Macaca mulatta: one gene and its partners. The protein of the gene in region 2 interacts with the protein of the main gene of each other region in a pairwise test. Links are inferred from orthologs where the notes say so. Each region holds a gene or a part of one and is shown on either strand. Other genes may lie near its edges. The genes, in order: protein BEX2, CEP70, GPATCH4, TRIM29, UTP14A, BRMS1 and SYTL4.

Region 1 (3,493 bases), on a different chromosome or scaffold from region 2:
CCACTGGACTTGTGAATATAGGGAAGACCTCACCTTGGAGATTTCCTCTAATAACAGAAGGGAATATCTAAAGGGTTGGGTCATGCATGTCAGTAAGAACAAGAACTTGGGAGAAAGCTTACAACCTCATTACCTTTTCTGGTCCATACAATAAGCCTGGGAGGTGATTGTCTTCATCTTACTGATAAATATTATGATCTTCAAAGAGATGTGTCTCTCAAACATTTCTAAAAAGAGATCCCAGAAGCAAGTTAAAATTGAGATTCTGTCACAAGTGTTTATTAAGTGCTCACATTGCTTTTATAAGGTGGTCACATTGCTTTTTATAAGTAATACGTGTTCCATTTTAAAAAATAAGAAATTATGGATAAGCAAGAATAAACTCCCTCTTAATTCTACCACAAAGATAAACACGATTTTCTATATATGTGTATATATGTGTACATATATGACTGTTTATGTTCATATTTAAGATTTAAAGTAAAAAAGAATGCAGAGAATGGTTTTTTAAACTATTTTATTAACTTCACAATATATAATGAGCATCTTTCCATGCAGTAGGTAAAACTCCCCTGCTGACAGAAACTTACAAACTGGGTCAAAACAACATTCAGTTTGAAGCTGGTAATAGGAGACCCACAAGAAATAGGTAACATCAAAAGGTTTACGACAAAGGTACACCACAAATGTGTAAGTTTAGGAAGCTGGGGTCTCCCTATTAACTTCAGGGAAACCATCAGGATTCAGGGCATAAGGCAAAACTCATCGTGATGGTCATGGTGAGGGGGGTCAGTGCTGACTGCCCGCAGACTATGACTCAACTGTTTTTCCCTCAGCTTTTCCATCAGCTGTCTCACCTCCTCCCCAATCCTTTCCATATTCTCCTCTCTCATCCTTGCCTGTGGCTCTCCAAGCCTATGCATTATGTCCCATCTATACTGCAGGGTGGGCTGCCTAACACGGAACCGCCTACGATTTCCTCTAGGCACACAGTATTCATCAACATTCAAAGGGAGGGCCAAGGGCTCCCCTTTATTAGCAACTTGCTCCTTTTCATCTTTTTCATCATTTTCCTGGTTGACATTTTCCACGTTGAGATTGTTTAACGCTCGTTCCTCTTTGGACTCCATTACTCCTATGAGACAGAGAGAAAACGGACTCAATTCTTGGTGAACTGATCAGCACCGAGGACAGAGGCCCGACTACCCACCTTTCAAAATTCAGAGCCCTGGATTTCAAAGGCCTTTTTTAAATTTCATTTTTTTTTTCCCACCAGAGAGGCCCCGTGTACCCTCGGGGTTGGGGGGGGGCAGTCCGCGCCCCTCTCTCCCGCAAAGCCCACCATCTTCTCTGCAGATCCATCTCCAGGCCTCTGCAGGCGCCAAAATGGAGGACGAAGAAGGGGTGGGGGTGGGGGATTGCGAAGCGTAGCAGTGAAGGCACCGACTGGGGTCCCAGACTGGGCTTTCGTCATGTTCTGACCCCCGCCCCGCCACCGTCCCTCGCACCGACCTGGGCCTATCCTTGCAGTCTCCTCCTCCTCCCGATTCTCGACGTGAGGTGCGTCGCCTCGACACTTAGCCTCGCAGACCTGCAGACGGCCGGGGTGGGAAGAGTGGAGGCTGCTGCAGCGGAACACTAGCGAGGACCCGCCGCCACCCGGCCCCTTCCCCGCGCCGGGCCCGGGCCCTCCTCGCCGCCCTCTCCCCGCGCCTCAGCCGCCCCGCCCCCCAAGCTGACCACCATTTTCTGCATCAAGAAGGGCGGAGCAGGGATCTCAGAAAAGATTGCGCTGGTGGCGGAGGCAGGTGCTTCAGAAGGGCCGTAGCCTCAGGACCGCAGCCTCAGGACCGCCGGCTCCCGCGGGGCCAGGCACTCCTCCGCTCACTAAAGGCTCGCGGTCCCGCGGCGGGGCCCCGGGGCTGCATCGTGCACCGGCTGCGTCTCAGCGCGGCTCCTCGGGGGTGGGGCATCCGCAGGCCGGGGCCGCTCCCCCACACCAACCCCAGGGACCCCCTCCGTTTCCCTTACCTGCTCCCCCTCCGCTTCCTGCTTTCGGGGCCGCACCTGGCCCGCACGTCCTCAGGGCCACCGGGAACAGGTACCACAGCCGAGAAAGGAGCGAGCGACGGCGGCTCCGACGCCAGAGAGAGGCAAGACTCAGTGTTGGCCGATCACGTGGGGCTGTTGTCATCGCCAGCGGCTCCGCCCCCGTCCCACGCTCCCTCCTGCAGCCTGGAGTCAGGTGGGACTTTCGGGCCCGCCCCCATCCTCACCGTGAGTCCCTTTTAACATCCCCAGCCTGGGCTCTGCCACTCTCCCTTCTCTTGTGTATTCTTGAGACTTCCCTTGCCTGCCCAGGAAGGACGGAAGGCATCTTCTCAGGGAGCTGTTGGCCATTCCCACTTCTCTGGGGACTTGCCTCTCTCTGCCCTTGGCTGCCAGGATTCACCTCCTTCTGCCTGTTAATTAATTTTTGACAAAGATGTCAAAGTAATTCGATATGGAAAGTATAGTCTTTTAAACAAATGGTGCTGAAATAACAGAATTCTTAAAGGAAAAACAGGAGCCTTGCCTTTTATCTATACTATACACAAATTAATTCAAAATGGTCATAAACCTAAATGTAAAAACTCAAATTAGAAAACTTCTAGAATAAAACATAGAGAAAAACTTTATAATCTTTGAGAAAACAATCCCTTAGGACAGAAAAAGAACAGATCACAAAAAAAAAAATGAGAAATTGGATTTATCAAAATTAAAAACTACCATTTAAACCACATGGTTAAGAAAATGAAGTGAGAAGCTGGGAGTAAATATTCACAATATGTGTATCTGACAGTGGGTTTGAATTCAGAGCATATATAAAGAACTTCGAAAACTCAAGAAGGCAAATAATAGATTTGAATAAACATTTCACAAAACTACATACACAAATTACCAACGAGCTCATGAAAAGATGCTCAACCTCATTAACTATCAGGGAAATGTAAAATAAAGCCAGAATGAAAAACCACTGCACACCCATTATAATTGCTGAACTTAAAATGTCTGACAGTCCCAAGCACTTTTGAAAATAGTAACAATAGAAACTCTCATTGATTGTTGGTGAGGGGTTCAACCACTCCAAGACTTGGTGGCAGTTTCTTAAAAAGTTAAACTTAGGCTTACCATATGTCCTAGAAATTCCACTTTTTGGAATTTTCCCAACAGATTTTAAAACATATTTTCTCAAAAATATTGGCATAGGAAAGTTCATAGAAATTTCCTTTATGATAGCCCCAAAGTTGATAAAAATCTAAATGTCCAACAAGTGAACTGATAAACAAATTGTGATGTATTCATACATTTTAAAGCTGCTAAGCAATAAAAAAGTGACAAGCTACTGATACAAACAGTAACATAGATGAATCTTAAAAAAATGAAAAAAAAATTGTATCTATAAAGACACCAGCCACAATTGTTTTCTGCATGATTGCATTTATATAAGTTC
Region 2 (3,500 bases):
AAAAAAAAAAGACTGAATCTATTTTAAGTTTTTTTTTTTTTTTTTTAAACAGGGTCTCGCTCTGTCACCCAGGCTGGAGTACAGTGACATGATCATGGCTCACTGCAGCCTTCCTGGGGTCAAGTGATCCTTCCACCTCAGTCTCCTGAGTAGCTGGGACTACAGTCAGAGACCACCACACCCGGCTAATTTTTATATTTTTTGTAGAGAAGGGGTTTTGCCATGTTGCCCACTCTGGTCTCGAATTCCTGCCTCAAGCAATCCGCCTGCCTCTGCCTCCCAAAGTGCTGAGATTACAGGCGAAAGCCACTGTGCCCAGCTTATTTGAAGTTCTTAGCTAGTTTTAACTTCTTCCATGTGGACTCCTATTTTCTCATTTCCCTTGCCTACCCGTGTGTTCTTGTTCCTTTCATAAGTTATCGTGGGAGAGAACTGACTAAAGTGAGAATAAGAATATTATGTACTCATGATTAGCTTTAGAGCAAAGGAGATAGAATGGTGCATTTAATATTCCAAATTCCAGTATATGTTTACTTTTCAAAGGATGAAGAAAAATTGACCGGGATGCAGTGGCTCATGCCTGTAATTCCAGTACTTTGGGAATTCCGGCACTGAGCCTAGGAGTTCAAGATCAGCCTAGGCAACACAGGGAGACCCCATCTCTACCAAACAAAAAATTAAAAAATTAGAGGCCGAGCGTGGTGGCTCATGCCTGTAATCCCAGCACTTTGGGAGGCCAAGGAGAAAGGATCACTTGAGGTCAGAAGTTCAAGACCAGCCTGACCAACATGGCGAAACCTCATCTCTACTAAAAATACAAAAAATAGCCAGCCGTCGTGGCGCGCACCTGTAATCCCAGCTACTCGGGAGGCTGAGGCAGGAGAGTCACTTGAACCTGGGAGGCAGATGTTGCAGTGAGTCGAGATCGCGCCACTGCACTCCAGCTTGGGGGACAGAGTGAGACTCTGTCTCAATTAAAAATAAATAATTTTAAAAATTAGCTGGGTGTGGTGGCTCGCACCTATAGTCCCAGCTAAGGGACTTGATTAGTCTTGAGCACTAGAGGTCAAGGCTGCAGTGAGACATGATCACACCACTGCACTTGGCCTGGGTGACAGAGTGAAACCCTGTCTCAGAAAAAAAACAAAACAAAAAAAACTTAAGTTTCTCTCACCTGGTTTCCAAATCTTTTTGGAGGTTCAGCTTTTCACTTAAAAGTGCATCAATCTGAGAGTTTGACTCCTTGAGTTGATTCTGTAATGACTGCAACACATTTCATAGAAAAATAATTAACTTTCTTAGATTACTTACTTTATTAAAAAGTATTTATTGGTTATGCAGTCCCCATACCATTAAAAGGCCTTTATAAGTTGGTGAGGCATCCAGACTTCTGTAGTCATTTTCTTCTTCTGACTGACTTTCATCTTCTTTATATTGCCTATGAAAATATGCATGCAGTATACTTATGAAAAATCTATCTTCAAAGAAAAAAATCTAATTAAACCAACATAATGAGGGTTTAATCATCTAAACATGAATTAAAATTAATTCAAATTTCCTACTTGTTCTCATAGAGAATGGTATTAGAACACTACTACTATCTATTATTATAGGACATACAATATCCATTTACTCTCTTTTTATTTAGAATATATGATCCATGAGGACCAGAACTTTTGTCTTATTCACCACTGTATCTCACTGCCTAGAAAAACTATGGACTATAAGAGGTGAAAAAGCACTGCCGAATAAACAAAACGAAACATGGGTGGAACATCCAGGTTCTTTCAAAAAATGCATTCACATACTATTTTTTCCTTCTAGTACTTTTAGGTAACCAAAAAACCTATATGAAAAAATGCAGATCATAAGTGGAAAAAGCAACAGATTTAATAGTCTTGGTTCAAGCCTTGATAACACCACTAACTAGTTGTATTATTTGAATAAATCAATCTCTCAGAATTTATTTTCTCATCTGTAAAACAGTATCTGTCACATCTACTTTACAGGACTGATGTAAAAAGCAAACGAAAGATACTGAAGGACTCTGTGAAATGCAAAGTGCTAGCAAATACATATGATTATTTTTAGCAATCTTGATTAACTATCACTGTGATGTCCTATATGGTAACCAACAGCTACATGAGCTAGTGGTTACCGCTTAACACTTGAAATATGGGTAATGCCACCAAAGAAATAAACTTTGAATTTCATTAAATCTTAAATTTAAAAATTGAAGCAGTATAAAATACTTTTCTGTTAAGTACAACTTTATTGTTTAAGGACTACATTTTGCTTTAACTGTTGCATAAAGTATTACTATTGTAGCCTAGTGTGCACTGGGTACATGCATGATTTCTAGTATTACACATAAACATATCACCAGTCTAGTAAGTTATCAATGGATTGATTCAGTTCAAATGATTTATTTATTCCCAATGTGTTTATTTTATGCATGTGCATATAGTCTGATGATAAAAACAACAACAACAACAAAAAACTTTGGACAACACTGGCCTTAAAAAAATGGATAAGCAGAGAAGCTTTTGCCACTGCAAGAGGCCCATGTCCCGCCTGTCTTCTTCCTTTGGTCTTGCTGCTTCAGTTCTACAGGTTTATAGCTCTTCTCTTGTGCTTCCTGTTTATCCTACTTAGGCCTCCAAATCTTAGCCTGTCTTCCCCTCTCTCCTCTTTCATCTTCTTTACTAATGTAATACTTGTCAATGAATTGTTACATCCTCTTTTTACAGTACTCCTACTTCTTTAGATGATACTTATATCCTATTGGTAGATCTCAAAATCTATCCTGAAATTGCCAGAATCTCACTTTCAAGTTAGTACTCACTCTTAAAAAGGAGACTGAGTTTATAATATAAACTCCTTTCAGTCAATGAATCCTGAAAAACCCCCTCCTTAGGAGACTCTTTTTATTGCTGCAAATTTTCTCATTTGTAGAATATTATTTATTAATGTATCTCATATTTTCTTCCTATCCTCCACTTCCCTCAATAAGACATTCAATCCAAATATCTGACCCAAGGATAATCTGCATAGGCCAAAATACTTTACTTCAGCTAGACAACTAATGAAAAGCTTTTTAAGCTAAAAAGTGATTCTTCTCCAAGTCGCTTGTTCCTCAACCCCAGATTTTCATTACAAACTCATGACAACTAAATTCAACACCACCACTCCAATGGCCTCAATCCTTTTGTCACCTTTAGTCAGAGAACCCCGTTTGCAGAACTCTACAAGTACCTCTCACATCATATTCTACATGAAAAATTTCCTGATGGCTATGTTATGTTAAATCTATTCTACTCTTACCAAAAACCCCAAATCCCCTCTCTTCATCATCTAGATCAGGGGTCAGCAAACTGCTGTCTGCAGGCTATATTCAGCAGGCTGTTGGTTTTGTAACTATTTTTATTGTAACACACCTGTGCCAATTCATTTACATATTATCTGTGTCTGATTTTGTGCTCCAACAGCCTAGTTGAGTA
Region 3 (4,077 bases), on a different chromosome or scaffold from region 2:
TCTGGGATCCTGCATCTTTTTTTTTTTTTTTTTTTTTTTTTTTTTCTGGCTCACTGCAACCTTCGCCCTCCCCATCCCCCACCGCTGGCTGAAGGGATCCTCCCACCTTAGCCTCTGGGACCCACAGCTGTGCACCATCATGCCTGGCTTTTTTTTTTTTTTTTTTTTGGTATTTTTAGTACAGTCGGTGCCTCGCCATGTTGCCCAGGCTGGTCTTGAACTTCTGGGCTCAAGCTATCTGCCTGTCTTGGCCTCCTAAAGTGCTGGGATTACAGGCATGAGCCACCGCGTCTTACCCATCCTGTATCTTTCTCCAAGTTCCACTGGCCATGTCCTCCATCTGATCCCACCCAAAGTCCCAATTTTCCCAGGCTAGACTAGGTGTTCCCCGAAATCAAGACCTGTGTCTTAAGCACCCTTGTATCCCCCAGTACCAAAGGGACAAGTTCTGGCACACAGTGGTGAGTCAAAAAGTGTTTGATGAGGCCGGTCATGGTGGCTTACGCCTGTAATCCCAACACTTTGGGAAACCGAGGCGTGCGTATCACTTGAGGCCAGAAATTGGAGACCAGCCTGGACAACATGGCAAGGCCCCTTCTCTACAAAACATACAAAAATTATCCAGGCGTGGTTGTGCATGTCTGTGGTCCCAGCTACTCACGAGGCTGAGATGGGAGGATCACTTGAGCCCAGGAGGCGGAGGTTGCAGTGAGCCGAGATCGCACCACTGCACTCAAGTCTGGGCGACAGAATGAGACCCTGTCTCAGAAAAAATAAAAAATTTAAAATATATATATAATAATAATAAATAAAGTGCTTGATGAACATACTGAGATGTCTGGTCTCTAGGCTTTTACAAATAACTGTTCCTGTGAAGGCTGAGTATTCATGAGTATTCAACCCTGCAAAATCAGGACACAGCTATCACCCATTCTGCCTCCACGAATTTCTCAGGCTACTCTCAATGCTTCCCTAGAGTTTTTCTTCCTCGTATTTGTGCCTGGGACTAGCTCAGTGTAGGACACATAGCGTTCTTGGCATCCTGAGAGGGCCAGTTAGTACTGAAGTCCCTTGGCTGCTCAAGGAATGCAGGGATGAGGCAAGTGGAACAGCCTCGGAACCTCCGAAAATGGGCACACTTCAGGTCCCAGTTTCTATGGCAACCATACCGGCAAATTGTCCTCCGCAATGGTTTCTCCTGGGAGGACCGCGATTTTGGTTCCAGCGGACGTCTCTATGGTTTCGACAGCCTAGAAGGAACAAAACGGCATTTCCGGAAAGATGGCGGCGCACAAGTCAGGTTTGGCACATGTTTCCGAGGAGAGGACCCCTCATTGACGGTAAGGGGCTCCCTTCCCCCGAACGGTGGTAGTCGGAGCCCGAGCTTAGTAGCAAACGTGAGAGGAGCGGAGTATTTTTACCCAAGTGGCACTGCGGTAGGAGGGCTGGAATTTAGACCTCAGGAGGAAGGAAGCCTAGGGAAAGGGCAGCCGGCTCTTGAGGACAGCTGTAAGACTAGTGCACCTGGGGCCACTTCTGAAAACGCAGATTGACTGTAGAGGGGAGAGTGCCCAAAGTGTGATCACAGGTTTCAGAAAGACTGGGGCGCACAGCTTCTGTCCAGTTATCCATTGAAAATCCGGTAAAGCCATTCCTAACTATGCCATTCAGTTCAACAAATAACGACTGAATACGTTCTAGAATTCTGGCGCCGCGTTACGTGCTCTGGAGTTGCGGAATAAAGCCGATCTCTTAACTTCCAGGGCATGTAGTTTTCAATTACTGCGACAAGGCTTAGGCTGTGGTCTTACGGGAGAAAGCACAAAGAGCTATAAGAGACTGAAGAGTGTAGAGATGAAGAACATCAGTCCTTGGCCGGGCGCCTTGGCTCACGCCTGTAATCCCAGCACTTTGGGAGGTCGAGGCGAGTGGTCAGGAGTTCGAGACCAGCCTGGCCAGTATGGTGAAACCCCGTCTCTACTAAAAATACAAAAATTAGCCGGGCGTGGTGGCATGATCCTTGTAGTCCCAGCTACTCGGGAGGCTGAGGCAGGAGAATCGCTTGAGGCTGGGAGGCGGAGGTTGCAGTGAGCCAAGATTGTGCCATTGCACTCCAGCCTGGGCAACAAGAGCGAAACTCTGTCTCAAAAAAAAAAAAAAAGACAGAGGACCACTTTGGAGTCAGGCGACTCGGGCTCATTCCATCTCCAACATGTAATTCCAGCTCCATCATTTGCCATGTTACCTTAGGCAAGAAACCCAGGCCTTGTTTTCCTCTTTTGCAAAATAAGAATAATATCTATCTCACAGGACTATCAAGATTAAATGAGTTAAGCCCAGACAGTGGCTCATGCCTGTAATCCCAGCATTTTGGAAAGCAGAGGTGGGCAGATTGCATGAGCCCAAGAATTAGAGACCAGCCTGGGAAACATGGCAAAACCCTGTCTGTACAAAAAAAAAAAAAAAAAAATACAAAAATTAGCCAGGCGTGGTGGCATGTGCCTGTGGTCCCAGCTACTCGGGAGGCTGAGGTGGGAGGATTGCTTGAGCCTGGGAGTTTGAGGCTGCAATGAGCCATGATCATGCCACTGCACTCCACTCCATCCAGCCTGGGTGACAGAGCAACCCTGTCTCAAAAAAAAAAAAAAAAAAAAATCGACTGAGTTAATATGACAGTATATCAATATGTGTAATCCACCTGTTATGCATTAAGTGCTCAATAAGAGTGCCCTTCCTAAGTTGGACACTTTCAAAAGGGAAACTCCAGCCAGACTGAAATACTGCAGTGGTGTGTGAGAAGTGTGTAGCCCCCACACCAAGAGGACAGTGTAAATGCTGAAGCATAAGTACAGGATCTGGTCTCTACCAAGTACCATTATCTTATGACTTAGGTTAATAAGCACCTCATTAGCTTTGTTTTTACAAGGTAATATATTTTGAGAGATACTATGTAGTGGTAGAGTATAGATTCTGCAGACAAGCTGCCTGGGCTTGAATTCTACATGTTAACCTGTGTGACCTTGAAGTTCCTTAACCTCTTTAGGCCTTACTTTACTCATTTGTAAAATAGGCTAATATTTCCCTGAATGGGCTGGGAAGATTAAATGAAATAATCTTTGTAAAGTCTCAGCACATCCTGGCATGTGGTGAGCACACCATAAATTTAGGTATCAGAATTGACACCATTCATCCTTGACTTCTCTATATGCTGGTCTTTCTGTAGCCAGATAGGGAGCTCCCCAAAGACCAGGCCACCTCCTTCCTCTCTCTCGCCCCAGGGCTCAGGAAAGAGAATTCTTTTTTCTTTCATTTTAATTTTTTATTTTTTTCTAGAGATGGTTTCACTATGTTGCCCACTCTGGTCTGGAACTCCTGGGCTCAAGTGATCCTCCTACCTTGGCCTTCCAAAGTTCTGGGATTACAAATGTGAACCACTGCACCTGGCTGCTTTATTCTTTTTATAAGAGGGGGTTCTTGCTATACTGCCCAGGCTGGACTCAAGCAATCCTGCCTCAGCCTCCCATGTAGCTGTGGCTACAGGTGTGTGCCACTGCACCCAACTAGCGGAGAATTCTTAACAAGCAGTCAGGATGGAACTGATGGCTGTTTGGGCACTTTCTCCTTTCTTCTTAAAAGGATGATATCACCTCTTCTTCTCTGGTGAGAGTCTGAGGATAGAGACCTTTTTCTCACCATGAATGTCACCCCAGAGGTCAAGAGTCGTGGGATGAAGTTTGCTGAGGAGCAGTTGTTAAAGCATGGATGGACTCAAGGTGATCCCCATGGGGTCTCTTACATCCCCCAACTCCCTGCCTACCTTCTGCCCAGGGGAAAGGCATCATCCTGGATTACCGCCCTCCTTTATTTAAAGGAGGAAAAGCTAGTTTAAAGGGAAATTTGCAGAAGAAAATTTCTGACTTTCCCAGAAAAGGGAAAAAAGGAAGAAATTTGACAGTGGATAATGAAGAAGTTGTGGTTGGGAGGACTAGGGGAGAGAAGAAGAGACATGGCCTCTCTTCCAAAAGAATTATGAAGGAAGAGATAGTTCAGGCTCACACAAAGGCAGGGGACTATATG
Region 4 (3,500 bases), on a different chromosome or scaffold from region 2:
GGCAGCTCCCGGGCTCTCATCTGGCCCCTGTATCTATGAGCTCAGCAGTTTGCCTGAGTTGCACAGCTTATAAGCAGCAGTCAGGATTCCAAACCAGGTGCTGCCGGACTCCCAAACCCAAATTCACGTTTTTTCTCCCCGGCTCTGTGGCCTCTCCCATTTCACTAGCCAGAGACTAGGGCCTAGAGAGAGGCAGGAATTTGTCAGTGTGGCCGCCACCCAGGGTTAGGACGGCAAGCCCGAGAGGCCCAGAGCAGGTGCGCTCTCTGAGCTTGGTTACAAAGATGCTAGTCTAAGGCGGGGCCGCCCTGACTCCCTCCGCCTCAGCCCAGACAGACCAGAAAGGAGCTCTGGTTCACAGCACAGTGAAGGCACTCTCAGTGTCAGCCATCAGCCTGCAGGGAGGCCTGGGAAGACACAGGCCATGACCTGGAAGCTGAGGTCCTCAAGAAACAAGCAGGGTCTGTCCTGGGCCAGATCTCTGTCCAGTGAGAGGCTGTGGTCACTGGACAGCGAGGTGAGGGAGGAACTAGCAGCTCAGGGAAGAGACCCAAGCAGGGTTTGGGAGGTGTGGGGCAGCTGTGGAGGAAAGCAGGGGCCAGGGTGGGCAAGCTCACCTTTCAGGGAGAAGGAGGAGCTGCCTTGGACGACGGGCAGGTCATTGTCAGAGCTCTGAATGCTGGAGGAGTACTCCCAGACCCGGGAGGTGTAGTTACCTGGCAGGGCAAAGAAGGGCTGTCAGGCCCCCACAGCTGGGAGGGGGAGAGGAGGCAGGACCAGGACACAGCCAGGTCTGTGACTCTCCAGCCGCCGGCCACAACTTAACCCAGGATGCCACTTGTGATCCCAGTGATACCTCACCCCCATCCTTCTGCCACCATAGCTACCTTTCTAAAATATAAAGCGTAGTCCGGTCCCTGCCCTACCTAAAGGCCACTGTCCTCAGAATAAGGCGCAACGTCCCAAGCGCAGCCCATGGCTCTGTCGTGAGTTGCTCTCCCCAATCCCCGCCACACACCCACCATCTCCCACTTCTTGGCTTTGCCTCTATCCTCCCTCCACCACTGGACATTCAAACCAGGCTAAGTCTCAGTGTCTGAGACACTCCAGCTTCTCTCCTGCCCCAGGCTATGTACCCAGCCCCTGTCCTCTGCCTAGGACACTTCTCCTGCTCCCCACCCTCGGCGATTCAAGGGTGGGGTCTTCAAGTGTCAGCTTACATGGCACCTCCCCAATGTCTGCATGTGCCTCAGCCCCATCCCCACATCATCCTGCACCCCCTACCCTCTGGGTGGCAACTATATGTTCAATTGTCTGTCTCCCGCAGTGAGCTCACATGAACTAGGAATGTGCCTGTCTGGCCCCAACATCACACCTGGTGCCTGGCACAGAGCCTGGTTCCTGGAAGGTGTTCATTGTATGGTTGATGGACAGAATGCATGAACCAATGAACAAATAAATACAAACACATCCTAAAACTTGGGGATGAGACAGTTGATAGTTGCCAAGTTGAATAGGCTAGCACACGCCTATGTGCAGGCATGTCCCATAGTCCAAAGGAGAAGGCAATGGGAAGGGGGTGGGAGGAGCTGCTAGGGCACTCAGAGGGCACTGGAGTGGGGGGCTCAGAGCCCCCGTGGGTGATGCACACTTCTCCAGCACCCCCATCTGCCAGGCTTGAAACATCAGTGACCTCCTTAGTCAAGCTCACCCCTTGGCTGCTTGTGGGGAGGGCTGGGGGCTGACTTTCGGGCTCAGGGGTCAGAGATGGCTGGGGCTGGCCACCTGCCCCTGTGCAAAGCCCTCCCACAGGGATCCCAGGCAGCTTCTGTAGCAAGGCCTCAGTGAGCACGTCTAGCCAGGGCTCTGCGAGGCCAGACACCTTGCCCTTCTGTTCACTCATGCCTTTAGTCTCTCTCTCAACAACTGCTTCCTGACCCCCTCCTACTTTTGAGCTCTGGGCCTGTAGCAGCGAACAGGACAGACACAGCCCTGTCCTCAAGGTGCCCATGGTCTACTGCATATGTGGAGGAGGGGGTGCCACTGGTCACGGCTGTGAATCCAATCCTGGATGTAGAGGCCCAGGCATTGCTGTGGTGCCCCTGACCCTCCAGTCTCCATGGCTCTTGTCCTCACAGAAGAGTCCTCCAGTGCTATGTCTGGGGCGGGGGCTGACCCAGTCCCCTCCTTCCCCGTGCATGGCTGGCACGTGACCAGGAGCCCCCAGGACAGAACCAAGGGCTCCCAGAACCAGGTCTCATTGAGTGGATGGCCCTGCCCCGGAGCAAATGGTCCCCTCGGAGCACTGGGCAGAAGGAGACCCTGAACTTAGCAGCTCCCCCTAGGGAAGCCACGTCCCCACCCCCATTTCATCTCATCTAGGTCTTAAGGTGCTGCTCACTCGCCTCACCTCCTGGAGCTCCAGGGCCAGTCCCATTTCCTGCCATGCCTTCCTTTCCAGTCACAGCCAAGCTAACAACTAACCACTGTACGACTTTTCACTGCAGAAGTATGCAAATCAGTAGATTCTCTGTGGGCCCTCGTGCCCTCATACTGGCTGGGGGGCTTCCCCACACTTAAGCCCAAGGTGGCTGCTCAGCCCCAGTTTTCCCCAAATCCTTCCTCAGGAATCAGAAGAGCACACGGACTCAAGGATCTCCACGGATGCCGAGATTCCTGGCTATTTTTCCTCCAGCCTAACTGTGTGCCCCATGCATGTACACACACACACACACACACACACACACTTTAAGCTCGGTAGGTAGGACCCCTCTCCACCCGTGTCTGGGCCCCCTACCCATCCCAGCTTCCCACATTCATCTCACACTGGGGTCTGAACCCCGTGCCCCCTGGCCCCACCTCTATACCCCTCCTGCCTGCAAGTCCCCATGAACTCTGTGCACCCTCAAGCTGAGCCACCACCTACCTTTGGTGCCATAGAGATTGTTGAAATTCTTCTGGGTGTTCTCCTTGGTGAAGCGGCCGGGAGATGAAGGCTGGTATGATGTCCGGGCCCCACCTGTGAAGCAGATGAAGGGGGCTGTCATTGCAGAAAACGGTCTCATGCAGGACACCTTGTCCCCAAAAAGTTGCCCAAGTGCCCATCACAGGACCTGGATTCCACCACTGAGAGAGGTCCTTCGGGTCTGACATAAGGCAATCAACTAATTTATCACCAAAATTGGCATGCTTTTGAAGAGTAGAAGGGCTCTGTTAGTAACCATGAGGAGAGCATCAGCATAAACCTGGAGAGGCCATGGCAACCACAGGGGCAGAAGCGGTGGGAGATCAGAGCCTCACTTCACAAGTGCTTTCCTTTCCGCACACCTGGGCTCTCACAACAGCCTTGTGAGGAAGCAGTGGGGACTGATAACCCCACTGATACCCAGCTGAAAACAATGAGCTCCCCATGTGTGTTCTGGTCCTCTATTACCTCAGTCCCTCCCCACCTGACCCTCTCATAACACCACACCCCCAGTTCTGGCCCTGCCAGTCCTTCC
Region 5 (4,069 bases), on a different chromosome or scaffold from region 2:
GGAAGGAAGGAAGGAAGGAAGGAAGGAAGGAAGGAAGGAAGGAAGGAAGGAAGGAAGGAAGGAAGGAAGGAAGGAAGGAAGGAAGGAAGGGAGGAAGGGAGGGAGGGAGGGAGGGAGGGAACAGACAGTTATTAAATACCAGACAAAGTTCTAGGAACCCAAAGACTGAGAGGTATCCATTTTATTTAGCAACTTTGGGTGTCGCTGATCTTGTCCAGAGCAATTTCTGTGGAATAATGGGGCAAAAGCAAAAATGGGAATGGATTAAAAGAATGAAAAGAATGTTCTTGTCTATTATTTTTCTACAATCATCATATATATATATATACACACACATATATTAGGCAGGGCCCAGTGGCTCACGCCTGTCATCCCAGCACTTTGCGAGGCCGAGGCGGGCGAATCACTTGAGGCCAGGAGTTCCAGACCAGCCTTGCCAACATAGCAAAATGCCATCTCTACTAAAAATGCAAATATTAGCCGAGCATGGTGGCAGGCGCCAGTAATCCTAGCTACTCCGGAGGCTTAGGCAGGAGAATCGCTTGAACCTGGGAGGCAGAGGTTGCAGTGAGCCGAGATCACGCCATTGCACTCCAGCCTGAGCGACACAGCAAGGCTCTGTCTCAAAAATAAATAAATTCTTAAAAGTTGATGGGAGAAAAAAAGTTGTTTAAAATAATTTTTTTAAAGTTGATAGGAGGTGAGGAAGCGTAGCTACTGACGGCCCATTCTTGGATAAAATATTTTGACTCAGGAAATGAAGAACAGAGCTGCAATTACAAGGGATCGAAAGATATTTTTCCTTAAATGGAAGGAAACTTGTTTTGTTCACCATCGGATCTCCGGGGCCCGGCACAATCTGGCCACTTAATGGGCATTCAATAAACCCCCGAGCTGGCTGGTGGCCGGCTTGCAGGACGCTGTCGCACAAGGACGGGCGCTGGAGTCTTTCCTTCTGGATTATGTAGGGACGAATGAAGGCGCGGGCTCAGTCCCTGACAGCGCAGTACCTTCGCCCTAAGCTAACCCACCCTGGGCCGCGTGGAAACCAGGGACCAGGAGGACAGACACCGGCGCACCAGAGAAATACGTGGTGGGTGGAGAAAAGAAAGCCCCACCCGCTGACAGCCGTTTCATCTCCAGCCTCGCCGTTTTACGCAGGCCCCTCCCTACACGGCTCCTGCTTCTCACACGCCTTGTACGCAACGGAACTGACGTGTACGTCGCGAGCGATTGACGGAAACAGAAATTGCTTTGCGGCCGGCACGGAAATTGCTTTCCTTCGGCTTCCGTTCTTGGTCCATGTGAGAAAAGCTGGCTGCTGAAATGACTGCGAACCGGCTTGCAGAGAGGTGAAGGGCAACGAGGGGAGTGGGGATTCTGGGTCTCGTTGGGGGCCGGGTTCCCCAGCTTTTGGGAAATGGGCGCCCCCTTTTAACAGATGGCAGTGGTTCCCCTCAAGAGCTGGCCACTTGTTCCTGTTTTCCGCGATCCAGCCTTTAAAGCCCTTTTAATTTCATTCACTTACTCCGCTCCTCAGCTGTATAGCCGCATCCCTGTTGGTCCTGATGCTGTTTCTGCCTCCCCAGCTCATTTACTATGTTTCACATTCCTCGTCACGTGACCCCTTTTTCTGCCTCTGCCGCGGCCGGATTTAATCCTCTGCGCAGGCAGTGCAGGCGTTATAAACTCCCCGAATCTTCGAAAGCTTTGCTGACTGGAGTCATCGCCACGTTTTGGCTCCTATGATGTTTTGTGCCTCCCCTCCCCGCCCCCGGAACTAAATGTAGTCCGTTTAGGAATGTTGGCTTTGCAAATACTAATAATATATGCTGTTAAGTAACGGTAAATTTTGTAATTTGTGGGTACCAGTCTCCTTAGTTAAGCACCTACTTTGCTAAGCAGGCCCCAGGGAAAATGGCTTACTCAGCTGCTTTCGACCTGTTTCTCCATTCCTGGGAACAAGTGATCAAGATGACACTTTTGATCAGGCTGCCTATCAAAGAGTCAAACATGTGGAGGATGCTTAGAAATATTAATCGTGAAACTGCCTTGCCTCCAGGGCTAGCAACAGCGTCTTTGGCCATATTATTCTAGGGTCTGACATTTTTACAGCTTCCCATAGGTCATAGGAAATGTTGTGCCAATCACTGAAAAGTGTTAGCTCTTTTACATGCAGTTTTGAGTCAGGCATCATTCCTGGAGGTGATGCCTGACATCAGTCTAAATTTCACGTCTTGACAAGTTTTCAAAGGCGTTCATGCTGCTTTATATATCTTCTGAGGGATAGGGCTATTCTGTGTTGAAGTTACAATGTTTACGAGATTGTTTTAATAGATTAGACATTGCTTCAAATAACAATGTTTCTCTATTAAATTTCAACTTTTATTATAATTAAGGGATACATATACAGGTTTGTTACATGGGTATATTGCATTCACATTTCTTTGTTGCCTCTTTTAACAGCCTTCTGGCTTTGAGCCAACAGGAAGAACTAGTAGATTTGCCAAAAGACTACCTCTTGAGTGGGAGTGAAGATGAGGTGGGTGACAATTGCTAAACTGCCTTCAAAATTAGGGTAGAGAGCACATTCCTGGAATGGAAAGGTGTGACAATATTCTATGTATTTGTTCAGGTCTCTCAAATTAATTACAAATGGTTAGTGTTTCATATATAAGTTACTGTATCATATTAAGTGCTATAAGGATTTGGAAACTAAGTTACACTCACTACCCGCAAGTTGCATAAGTATAATTTATAAAACCAACCAAAACAGGCCCGGCTGGTGGCTCACGCCTGTAATCCCAGCACTTTGGGAGGCCAAGGCAGGGAGATAACCTGAGGTCAGGAGTTCAAGACCAGCCTGGCCAACACGGCAAAACCCTGTGTCTACTAAAAATACAAAAATTAGCTGGGTGTGGTGGTGTGTGCCTATAATCCCAGCTACTATTGAACCCAGGAGGTGGAGGTTGCAGTAAGCCAAGATCACGCCACTGCACTCCAGTCTGGGCAATAGAGCAAGACTCCGTCTCAAAAAAAAAAAAAAAAAAAAAAAAAAGACTGAAACACATGGTCCTCATATGATATGATTTCCCAAGTTTGGATTTCTATAGAGCGTTATTTAATTATCTGACTGAAATATGCATATGTATTTTAAGCTGGATCTCCAACAGATGCTATAAGAATTCCAATTCTTTATTTCCCTTACAAAAAAACACTTTTTTTTTCCCTTGGGTTGGGGGCACACAACACATCTATTTTAATAACAAGGAGGGTGTTTTTTTTTGTCTATTTTTTTCTGCTTGTCGTGTTCTTCGTAGGAAAAGCCAACTTAACTTGGAGGCCGGGTGTGGTGACTCACACCTGTAATCCCAGCACTTTGGGAGGCCAAGGCGGGTGGATGACTGGAGGCCAGGAGTTCAAGACCAGTCTGGCCAACATGGTGAAACCCCGTCTTTACTAAAAATACAAAAATTAGTTGGGTGTGGTGGCACTCGCCTGTAATCCTAGCTATTCCAGTGGCTGGGGCAAGAGAATCACTTCCAGGAGGTGGAGGTTGCAGTGAGCTGAGATCACACCACTGCACTCCTTCCTGGGCAACAGAGCGAGACTCTGTCTCAAAGAAAAAAAAGCTAACTTTGTAACTGGCTATGACTTACACTATATGTCAGGGTTTCCATGTTAGATCATACTATATATTTTATACAGAAACACCATTTTAAGCCCTTTTTGTCTAGAAGCAAGTTAGGACAGACACATGACATTAGCTCCCTTTTAGTTTGAGCTGGAATGCTTGCACACCAGACCTCTTCCAATTCCCCAGTTCTCTACTGACCAAAAGAACAAGAGATTTGGCCGGGCGTGGTGGCTCACGCCTGTAATCTCAACACTTTGGGAGGCCAAGGCAGGCAAATCACAAGGTCAGGAGATCGAGACCATCCTGGCTAACACAGTGAAACCCCATCTCTACTAAAAATACAAAAAATTAGCCAGGTGTAGTGGCGGGCGCCTGTGGTCCCAGCTACTCAGGAGGCTGAGGCAAGAGATTGGCATGAACCCGGTGGTGGAG
Region 6 (2,679 bases), on a different chromosome or scaffold from region 2:
GGTGAGCCCCTACACAAACACACACACACACACAGCCCCCACGCACAAGCATGCACATACATGCACATACAGCCCCTAGACACAAGCATACTCACACACAGCCTCTGCCACAAGCACACACACACAGCTTCTACACACAAGCATGCACATGCACACACAGCCCCTTCACACAAGCACCTACACACAGCCCCTGCACACAAGCACATGCACACGCACACACAGCCCCTACACACAAGCACATGCACATGCACACACAGCCCCTACACACAAGCACGCACGCACACACACAGCTTCTACACACAAGCATGCACACATACAGAGCCTCTACACACAAGCACGCACACACACAGAGCCTCTACACACAAGCACGCACACACACACAGCCCCTTCACACAAGCACGCATGCGCACACACACAGCCTCTACACACGAGCACCCACACACACACACAGCCTCTACACACGAGCACACACGCACACAGCCCCTTCACACGAGCATGCACACACACACACATAGCCCCTACACACGAGCACACATGCACACACACAGCCCCTACACACGAGCACACGTGCACACACACACAGCCCCTACACACAAGCACGCATACACACACACAGCCCCTACACACGAGCACACATGCACACACAGCCCCTACACACGAGCACACATGCACACACAGCCCCTACACACGAGCACACATGCACACACAGCCCCTACACACGAGCACACATGCACACACAGCCCCTACACACGAGCACACATGCACACACAGCCCCTACACACGAGCACGCATGCACACACACAGCCCCTACACACAAGCACGTGCGCACACACAGCCCCTACACACAAGCACACACACACACACACACAGCCCCTACACACAAGCATGCATACAAACACACAGCCCCTTCACACAAGGACGCATGCACACACACACACATGAAGGACGCACATGCACATATGTGGGTACCCACCACCCCTCCCCAGAGCTAGCCCTTACTGGCGTCTTGTCCCAGAGATGGACGATGAGGACTATGAGCGGCGCCGCAGCGAGTGTGTCAGTGAGATGCTGGACCTAGAAAAGCAGTTCTCGGAGCTAAAGGAGAAGTGAGCATGGGGACACCTTGGGCTGGGTCTGCGAGGAGCTGGGATGAGGAGGTGGTGGGCCTGGTACTGGGCAGGCGTGGTTGGTGCCCAGGAAGTGCACGCCTAACACAGGGCTTGCTGTGGAATGGGTGCTGGGTACGTGTTTGCCCAAGAGCAATAGGTGAGCAAATGGGTGCACGGCTGCCTTTTTTACCACCCAGGTTGTTCAGGGAACGACTGAGTCAGCTGCGGTTGCGGCTGGAGGAAGTGGGGGCTGAGAGAGCCCCTGAATACACGGAGCCCCTTGGGGGGCTGCAGCAGAGCCTCAAGATTCGCATTCAGGTGGCAGGTCTGTGGGTGGTTCTGTGCCTTTTTCCCCTCCCAGAACCCATGGCACCCTGTCCCCTTCCTCTCTTGTTCCTCCCTGGCCTCACCCTTTGCTTTCAGCCCTCCTGTGTGGGCACCAGGCTCCCCAGCCAAGCAGGGCCCCTCCTTCCTTTCTCTGCAGGGATCTACAAGGGGTTCTGTCTGGATGTGATCAGGAATAAGTACGAATGTGAGCTGCAGGGAGCCAAACAGCACCTGGAGGTGGGCCTGATTGGGCACACTGGGGACAAGGCGGGGCGCAAGGCCTGAAGTGAGCTCTCCCCATCCGTCCTGCTGAGCTATTGCCCCCTCTTCCAGAGTGAGAAGCTGCTGCTCTATGACACACTGCAGGGGGAGCTGCAGGAGCGGATCCAGAGGCTGGAGGAGGACCGCCAGAGCCTGGACCTCAGCTCTGGTGAGCGCGAGAGCCCGGGCACCCCGGCCCTGGGCTTGGCTCTGTCAACGCCCACCCCTTTCTAGACTTCAGATGTCCTGAAGTCAAGGGGACAGTCAGAGGACCTGCCTCTTGGGGTCAGTGTGAGGACTGAAGGAAACCAGGCCTGGAAAGGGCCTGGCACACAGTAGGGGCTCGGGCAGAGTGGGTCTCCCTGCCCTCTTCTGCCCCTGCTCTTTCCAAAACAGGTATCAGTGTGACATGCAGTCCCATGCAATAGCTCTAGTCCCCTCCACGTTCATAGTACCTGTGTTCATGTGGAGTCCTGGGGTGGCAGGAATTGTCATCATCCCACTGTCCACTAAACAGATGAGGCTCACAGAAGTGCAGCGGCCTCTTCCCGGGGTTGCGCAGCTGTGCGGGCAGGACCTGAACAGCCCTAAGGGGCTTCCTACCCCAAGCCCAGGGTTGTGATGGGGCAGGGGATATGAGGCCAGGCTGGCCCATGGTGGGGGCAGAGGCTACAGAAGAGAGAGTGTCCTGTGGGCCAGCACCCCAGTTCTAACTCTGGGTCTGGGGGCAGAATGGTGGGACGACAAACTGCACGCCAGAGGCAGCTCCAGGTCTTGGGACTCCCTGCCGCCCAGCAAGAGGAAGAAGGCACCTCTGGTTTCTGGTATCCTTTCACCCAAGGTGGCCTAAAAGGTGGCAGGATGTTAGGGTCACCTCCAGACCTGGGGGAGAGGTTTGGAGGGGACATGGAGGACAGTCGCACTAGATGCACTTGTGGTTGCTTGGTGTCATGTGACCATGTCCAGGCAAATCCAGCTGTCA
Region 7 (4,184 bases), on a different chromosome or scaffold from region 2:
AAGTCTACCGGTGAATACAACAGACAGCAATCCCTGCCCACAGGGTGTTTATGTTATGGTGGGTGAGGGAGTGGCAGGGCAGACAATAAGCGAGAAAAATGTAATAAGGTAGGGAAAGGGCATATGGAACGTTCAGAGAAGGGATTACACGTTTAAATAGGGTGATCAGGGCAAACTTGTAGCCGTGGTATTTCAAGCGCCTCAGGAAGGTGTCTTCTGTACTCTCAACCCCACCATCACTACACCTCAGCACCTTGAAGGAATGGCATGGTACATCCGGTTACTGGCACAAATATTTGCCAATATCTTATATTTAAGACAAAGGGAGCTCCAAGATCCAGACCTTGCCCTTAGAGAACTTACAGCCTTCCAGGTGGAAAAACAACTAAGCAGTGTTAAGGGCTGTACTGAGGTGTAAACAAAGTGCTTTAGGACACAGGATAACTGGCAATTCTGCTTGGGGGAAGAAGTATGTGTTCAGTAAGGCCGTTCCAAAGAAGGTGACTTTAGAACTCAATCTTGAGGGATGGATAGGAATTAATGTCAGGGGAATGGGCATGGGGGAGGAAAGTTAGCTTTTTAGGAAGAAAAAAAGGAACAGTTTGAGCAAGGTCCCAGAGCTGGGAATAGGGAGGACATTTTCTTCCTATCCCTGCCTGTGGTACTCCATCCATCCCATGACAAAACTAGCACACGATCACCCTCAAGCTCTCTGGTATGGCTGTCAGGAAATCCCTATCACTTATTTCTCCCCTAGCCAGCAGGAGAGGAAGAAATTGAGTCAGGCGCACATCCCTGGAATCCAGGGTTACCCTCCTCTAACTTCAAGACAATTACCACAGAGCTGAGAACCCGGGAGATTTCACTCATCTAGGTACACTCAGGGATGTGTACTTATAGTGGTAATGTGGCAACTGGCCCATGTCAGAAATGAAGTGGGTAAGACATCAGTAAGGTAAGTAGTCCATAGTCTCGGCAGTGAATCTAAGGGGGAATCAAGGAGCAAAACATATACTTGGAAGGAAATTTTTTAATCACTTAGTCCTCATTCATGAGCTATTCAGTGCTCCCAACATCCAAGACAATAGAGGTGGTGTGACAGGATAGGAACACAAGCTCTGCCTCCGAGATTGTGAGGGCAAGGCACTTACCCTCTAAGTCTCTTTTTCATCATAATATGGTTATAACTGTAGCACCTATTGTATAGAGTTACTGGGAGGATTGCATTTTTATGTAAAGAACTTATCACAGTGTCTGGCTCAATGGAGCCTAACAACCAGAGCCTAACAAGCTCAGAGAGCCGGAATGCTACATATACTCACAGATCAGTTACCCCAGAACAGGCCTCCGAGCTCCATTTCACTGCTCTGACCAAGAGTGAGACACCTGAAATCGTGTTAGCAGAAATGTTCATCCCCTGCCCAGACAGAGCCTCACAAGCCAAGTTGGTGTGCTTTTCTACTAGGGTGCTAAAAACCAAACCACCAAAAATGCGGAAAACTTCATCAAGGCCACATCTCTGCATTGAGCATTGTTCCCACAGCGACAAAAGTCTTAAGTCATTAATACCGCAATATTAATAGATTTATGAGAGGTGGGGGTGGGGAGCTTAAAGAGCAGAAAAGAAGCCAGTTAAATATAGGAGGTCCAGGATGTACAGAAGACTCATTTTTTGCCACAAATATACAAGGTCTAGGGTCAACCCTGCCAAGAGCAGTACTCTGGAATTTTACGTCCTCTAGTCCTGAAGAAGAAGGGTACTGGGGGAAGAAAAGCTTGGTTAATTAGAAACTCACCACTTTTCAAGCCACCAGAATTCTAACCAAATGATTTCACCACCCCAAATCCCATCTCAATGTTAAGGGTTGGAGGAACACCTTTTTCTGCCCCATTACAAACCATCACAGGAGACAGAAGCATTCTGTGCCCCTTCTGAGATCTCGGGGACCCTCCTCCAGTACCAGGTCTCTCACAGCCTGCTTGAAGAGCGGCAAGATAAACAGCTCCACAGCACGTAGCCAGGTCCCCAGCCCCAAGCGCAGAGGGAGCCCACTGAGGCAGGACTCCGGCCGACCAGCCTCCAGCCTTTACCTGTGGCTGACTGGCCAACGCCAGAGAAGCCGACGCCGAGATGTCGGAGGTCCGAAGAGAGTGCGGGTTAGCGACCCCGCTCGACGGCCAAGCGCTGCGAGAGAAACCCACGAAAAGGTGACTGCACGCCTTGGAGGGCGCAGTTCCCGCTAGGAGCTCGGCCCCGCCCCCGCCCCCAGGGCCAGCTCTCGGGAGGGGCACCAGCTCGGGCTGGCGGGAAAAGCCCGGGCACTCCGCGCGAGGGGAGCCGGAGAGGAGAGGGGAGGCGGCTCCCAGAGGGGCACAGCCCGCATTAGTGCTAGGTGGGTCAGGGAAGGGGCCAGAAGAAGCCCTAGAGAAAGAAAAGTGGCCGGGAGGGACCGCCCAAGCAGACGGGAGTCCAAGCCTGGGGGGTGCGGTCGGGAGAGGCGGACGGGGAGAGGGAAGACGAGGTCAGCTAGGGAGAAGGAAAAACTAGGGGAGCAGAGAGCAGGTAGGGAAGACGCACGACCCCGATATGGGGGTGGGGGCGCTTCAGCAGCGAAAAGGAGCTGGGGGTCCAGAAGGAGCCCCCAACCGAGGGCGAGGGGGCGGCCGCTGGCTGCTGACCTACCTGTCACCTGCAACAGGTGCCTCCAGAGAGCTAGACGTCCCAGTGCCGGTTTCGAGGGAGGGTCTCTGGCTCCGGGAAGATCGCCACCCAGCTCCGGCGGCCGGCCCTTCTCACCCTCCCGGGAGGCGGAAAAAGCTGCAACTTTCCCTGGAGCTGGGAGGAGCTGGACTCTTAAAGGGGCCGCACAGCGCCCCGGGCTCCTTAGTAGGGGGCCGCTCAGCCCGAAAGGGAGCTCTGGGACCCAAAGCCTTGAGACACAAGAGGAATGAATGTCCTTCCAGGTTAGGAGTGGGAGCCTAGGGACCGAGGATAGGGGTCTAACACTAGACGTGCCTCCCCACCCCCTTACTTCCATCTGTTGGTCGTTCCCTTAGATGGTGAAATCACCTGCCCCTTTCATTCTGCTGAGTCAAAAGTTGTCAAATTGTCTCACACTTCTAAGGAGATAAAAGAATATGAACTATCTAATTTGGGTAAGTAAAATATGATACCATTCTGATCCTTTAACTTATGGCCTTTTATGGCAAATTGTCTGTCTAAAATAGAAACGTTTTGGGCAAAGGAGTAGACTAAATTCACACATACACACTCAAGAACACAACTGGTTAAAATATTCAACTCACTAGTAATCAAAGAAAAGCAAATTAGAACAATAATGAGATTATTTGGCAAAGAGTTTTGTTTTTTATTTTTTAAATAACACTTAATGATGACAAAGTAGCCACCAAACAAGCTCTCATAATTGCTGATAGGAGCATATGTTGGTTAAAAACCCTTTTAGAAAGCATGTGAGCAGTATATATCAATAGACTTTAAAATGTTTATACCTCCCCAGTAATTGCAGATTCCCCTCCCTCTCTTTCCCATCCCTCTCCCCCTCATTTCACATCAGCAATTAAACATGCTCAAGTATCTACCATCTTAAAACAATATCCTCCCTACACAGGAGGTCCCTCTTCAGGTCCTCTTTATGGGCAAATGTATTGAAAACATACTTTACAGGTGAAATTGCAATTTTTATTCCCTTACGTCTCATTCATTTCTCAGCTCTCAGCAGTCTGGCTTCCTTCCCCCACTGAAACTTCTCAATGAGATAAAAAACCAATGACCCTCAGTGTCGATAAATCCACAAATAAGTAAGGTATTTTTGGTCCTTATTTTGCTTGACTTCTCCCCTACATTTAACACTGTTAACCATTTCCTCCTCCTTGAAATGTTCTATGGCATCTATGACATTATACTCTTGCTTTTCCTCCTACTCCTTTGCCCTCTCCTCAGTGACCTTTGTAGGCCACTCTTCTGCTATCTGACCTCTGAAAGTCAGACATTCTCAGGGCTAGGATACATATACTCCCTCCCCCAAATAATCTTTTTCACTCACTTGGCTTTAATTATCGTATATATGGTCACAACTCTAATTCTATAACTCTACCCAGACCGCTTTATTGAGTTCTGTTTTCTTGACATCTCCACTTGAATGTCTTGCAGACACCTCAAATTC

The links.
Region 1: the proteins of CEP70 (region 2) and protein BEX2 interact in binary tests that used the Homo sapiens proteins (3 or more experiments, as listed by UniProt). The two-hybrid records come from large-scale screens. The link is inferred for Macaca mulatta from reciprocal best matches to the Homo sapiens genes CEP70 and BEX2.
Region 3: the proteins of CEP70 (region 2) and GPATCH4 interact in binary tests that used the Homo sapiens proteins (3 or more experiments, as listed by UniProt). The two-hybrid records come from large-scale screens. The link is inferred for Macaca mulatta from reciprocal best matches to the Homo sapiens genes CEP70 and GPATCH4.
Region 4: the proteins of CEP70 (region 2) and TRIM29 interact in binary tests that used the Homo sapiens proteins (3 or more experiments, as listed by UniProt). The two-hybrid records come from large-scale screens. The link is inferred for Macaca mulatta from reciprocal best matches to the Homo sapiens genes CEP70 and TRIM29.
Region 5: the proteins of CEP70 (region 2) and UTP14A interact in a two-hybrid assay, tested with the Homo sapiens proteins (2 studies listed by BioGRID and IntAct). The two-hybrid records come from large-scale screens. The link is inferred for Macaca mulatta from reciprocal best matches to the Homo sapiens genes CEP70 and UTP14A.
Region 6: the proteins of CEP70 (region 2) and BRMS1 interact in binary tests that used the Homo sapiens proteins (3 or more experiments, as listed by UniProt). The two-hybrid records come from large-scale screens. The link is inferred for Macaca mulatta from reciprocal best matches to the Homo sapiens genes CEP70 and BRMS1.
Region 7: the proteins of CEP70 (region 2) and SYTL4 interact in binary tests that used the Homo sapiens proteins (3 or more experiments, as listed by UniProt). The two-hybrid records come from large-scale screens. The link is inferred for Macaca mulatta from reciprocal best matches to the Homo sapiens genes CEP70 and SYTL4.

What each region holds. Positions count from the first base shown.
Region 1 is NC_133426.1:109,951,033-109,954,525, forward strand, and holds protein BEX2, read right to left. Parts: upstream 2,163-3,493; 5' UTR 1,756-2,162; coding exon 1,741-1,755; intron 1,592-1,740; coding exon 1,513-1,591; intron 1,136-1,512; coding exon 744-1,135; 3' UTR 501-743; downstream 1-500. UniProt on the Homo sapiens protein: Regulator of mitochondrial apoptosis and G1 cell cycle in breast cancer.
Region 2 is NC_133407.1:41,523,804-41,527,303, forward strand, and holds part of CEP70 (centrosomal protein of 70 kDa), read right to left. Parts: intron 1,439-3,500; coding exon 1,351-1,438; intron 1,264-1,350; coding exon 1,175-1,263; intron 1-1,174.
Region 3 is NC_133406.1:110,323,317-110,327,393, forward strand, and holds the start of GPATCH4 (G patch domain-containing protein 4), read left to right. Parts: upstream 1-1,277; 5' UTR 1,278-1,309; coding exon 1,310-1,340; intron 1,341-3,636; exon of another isoform or gene 3,637-3,694; coding exon of another isoform or gene 3,695-3,710; coding exon 3,711-3,773; intron 3,774-4,077.
Region 4 is NC_133419.1:120,798,998-120,802,497, forward strand, and holds part of TRIM29 (tripartite motif-containing protein 29), read right to left. Parts: intron 3,020-3,500; coding exon 2,927-3,019; intron 717-2,926; coding exon 618-716; intron 1-617.
Region 5 is NC_133426.1:136,359,835-136,363,903, forward strand, and holds the start of UTP14A (U3 small nucleolar RNA-associated protein 14 homolog A), read left to right. Parts: upstream 1-1,269; 5' UTR 1,270-1,326; coding exon 1,327-1,352; intron 1,353-2,466; coding exon 2,467-2,542; intron 2,543-4,069. UniProt on the Homo sapiens protein: May be required for ribosome biogenesis.
Region 6 is NC_133419.1:8,083,120-8,085,798, forward strand, and holds part of BRMS1 (breast cancer metastasis-suppressor 1), read left to right. Parts: coding exon 1-1; intron 2-1,015; coding exon 1,016-1,106; intron 1,107-1,306; coding exon 1,307-1,434; intron 1,435-1,593; coding exon 1,594-1,673; intron 1,674-1,769; coding exon 1,770-1,866; intron 1,867-2,428; coding exon 2,429-2,521; intron 2,522-2,679. UniProt on the Homo sapiens protein: Transcriptional repressor. Down-regulates transcription activation by NF-kappa-B by promoting the deacetylation of RELA at 'Lys-310'. Promotes HDAC1 binding to promoter regions.
Region 7 is NC_133426.1:107,583,290-107,587,473, forward strand, and holds the start of SYTL4 (synaptotagmin-like protein 4), read right to left. Parts: upstream 2,801-4,184; 5' UTR 2,684-2,800; intron 2,186-2,683; exon of another isoform or gene 2,092-2,185; intron 1-2,091. UniProt on the Homo sapiens protein: Modulates exocytosis of dense-core granules and secretion of hormones in the pancreas and the pituitary. Interacts with vesicles containing negatively charged phospholipids in a Ca(2+)-independent manner.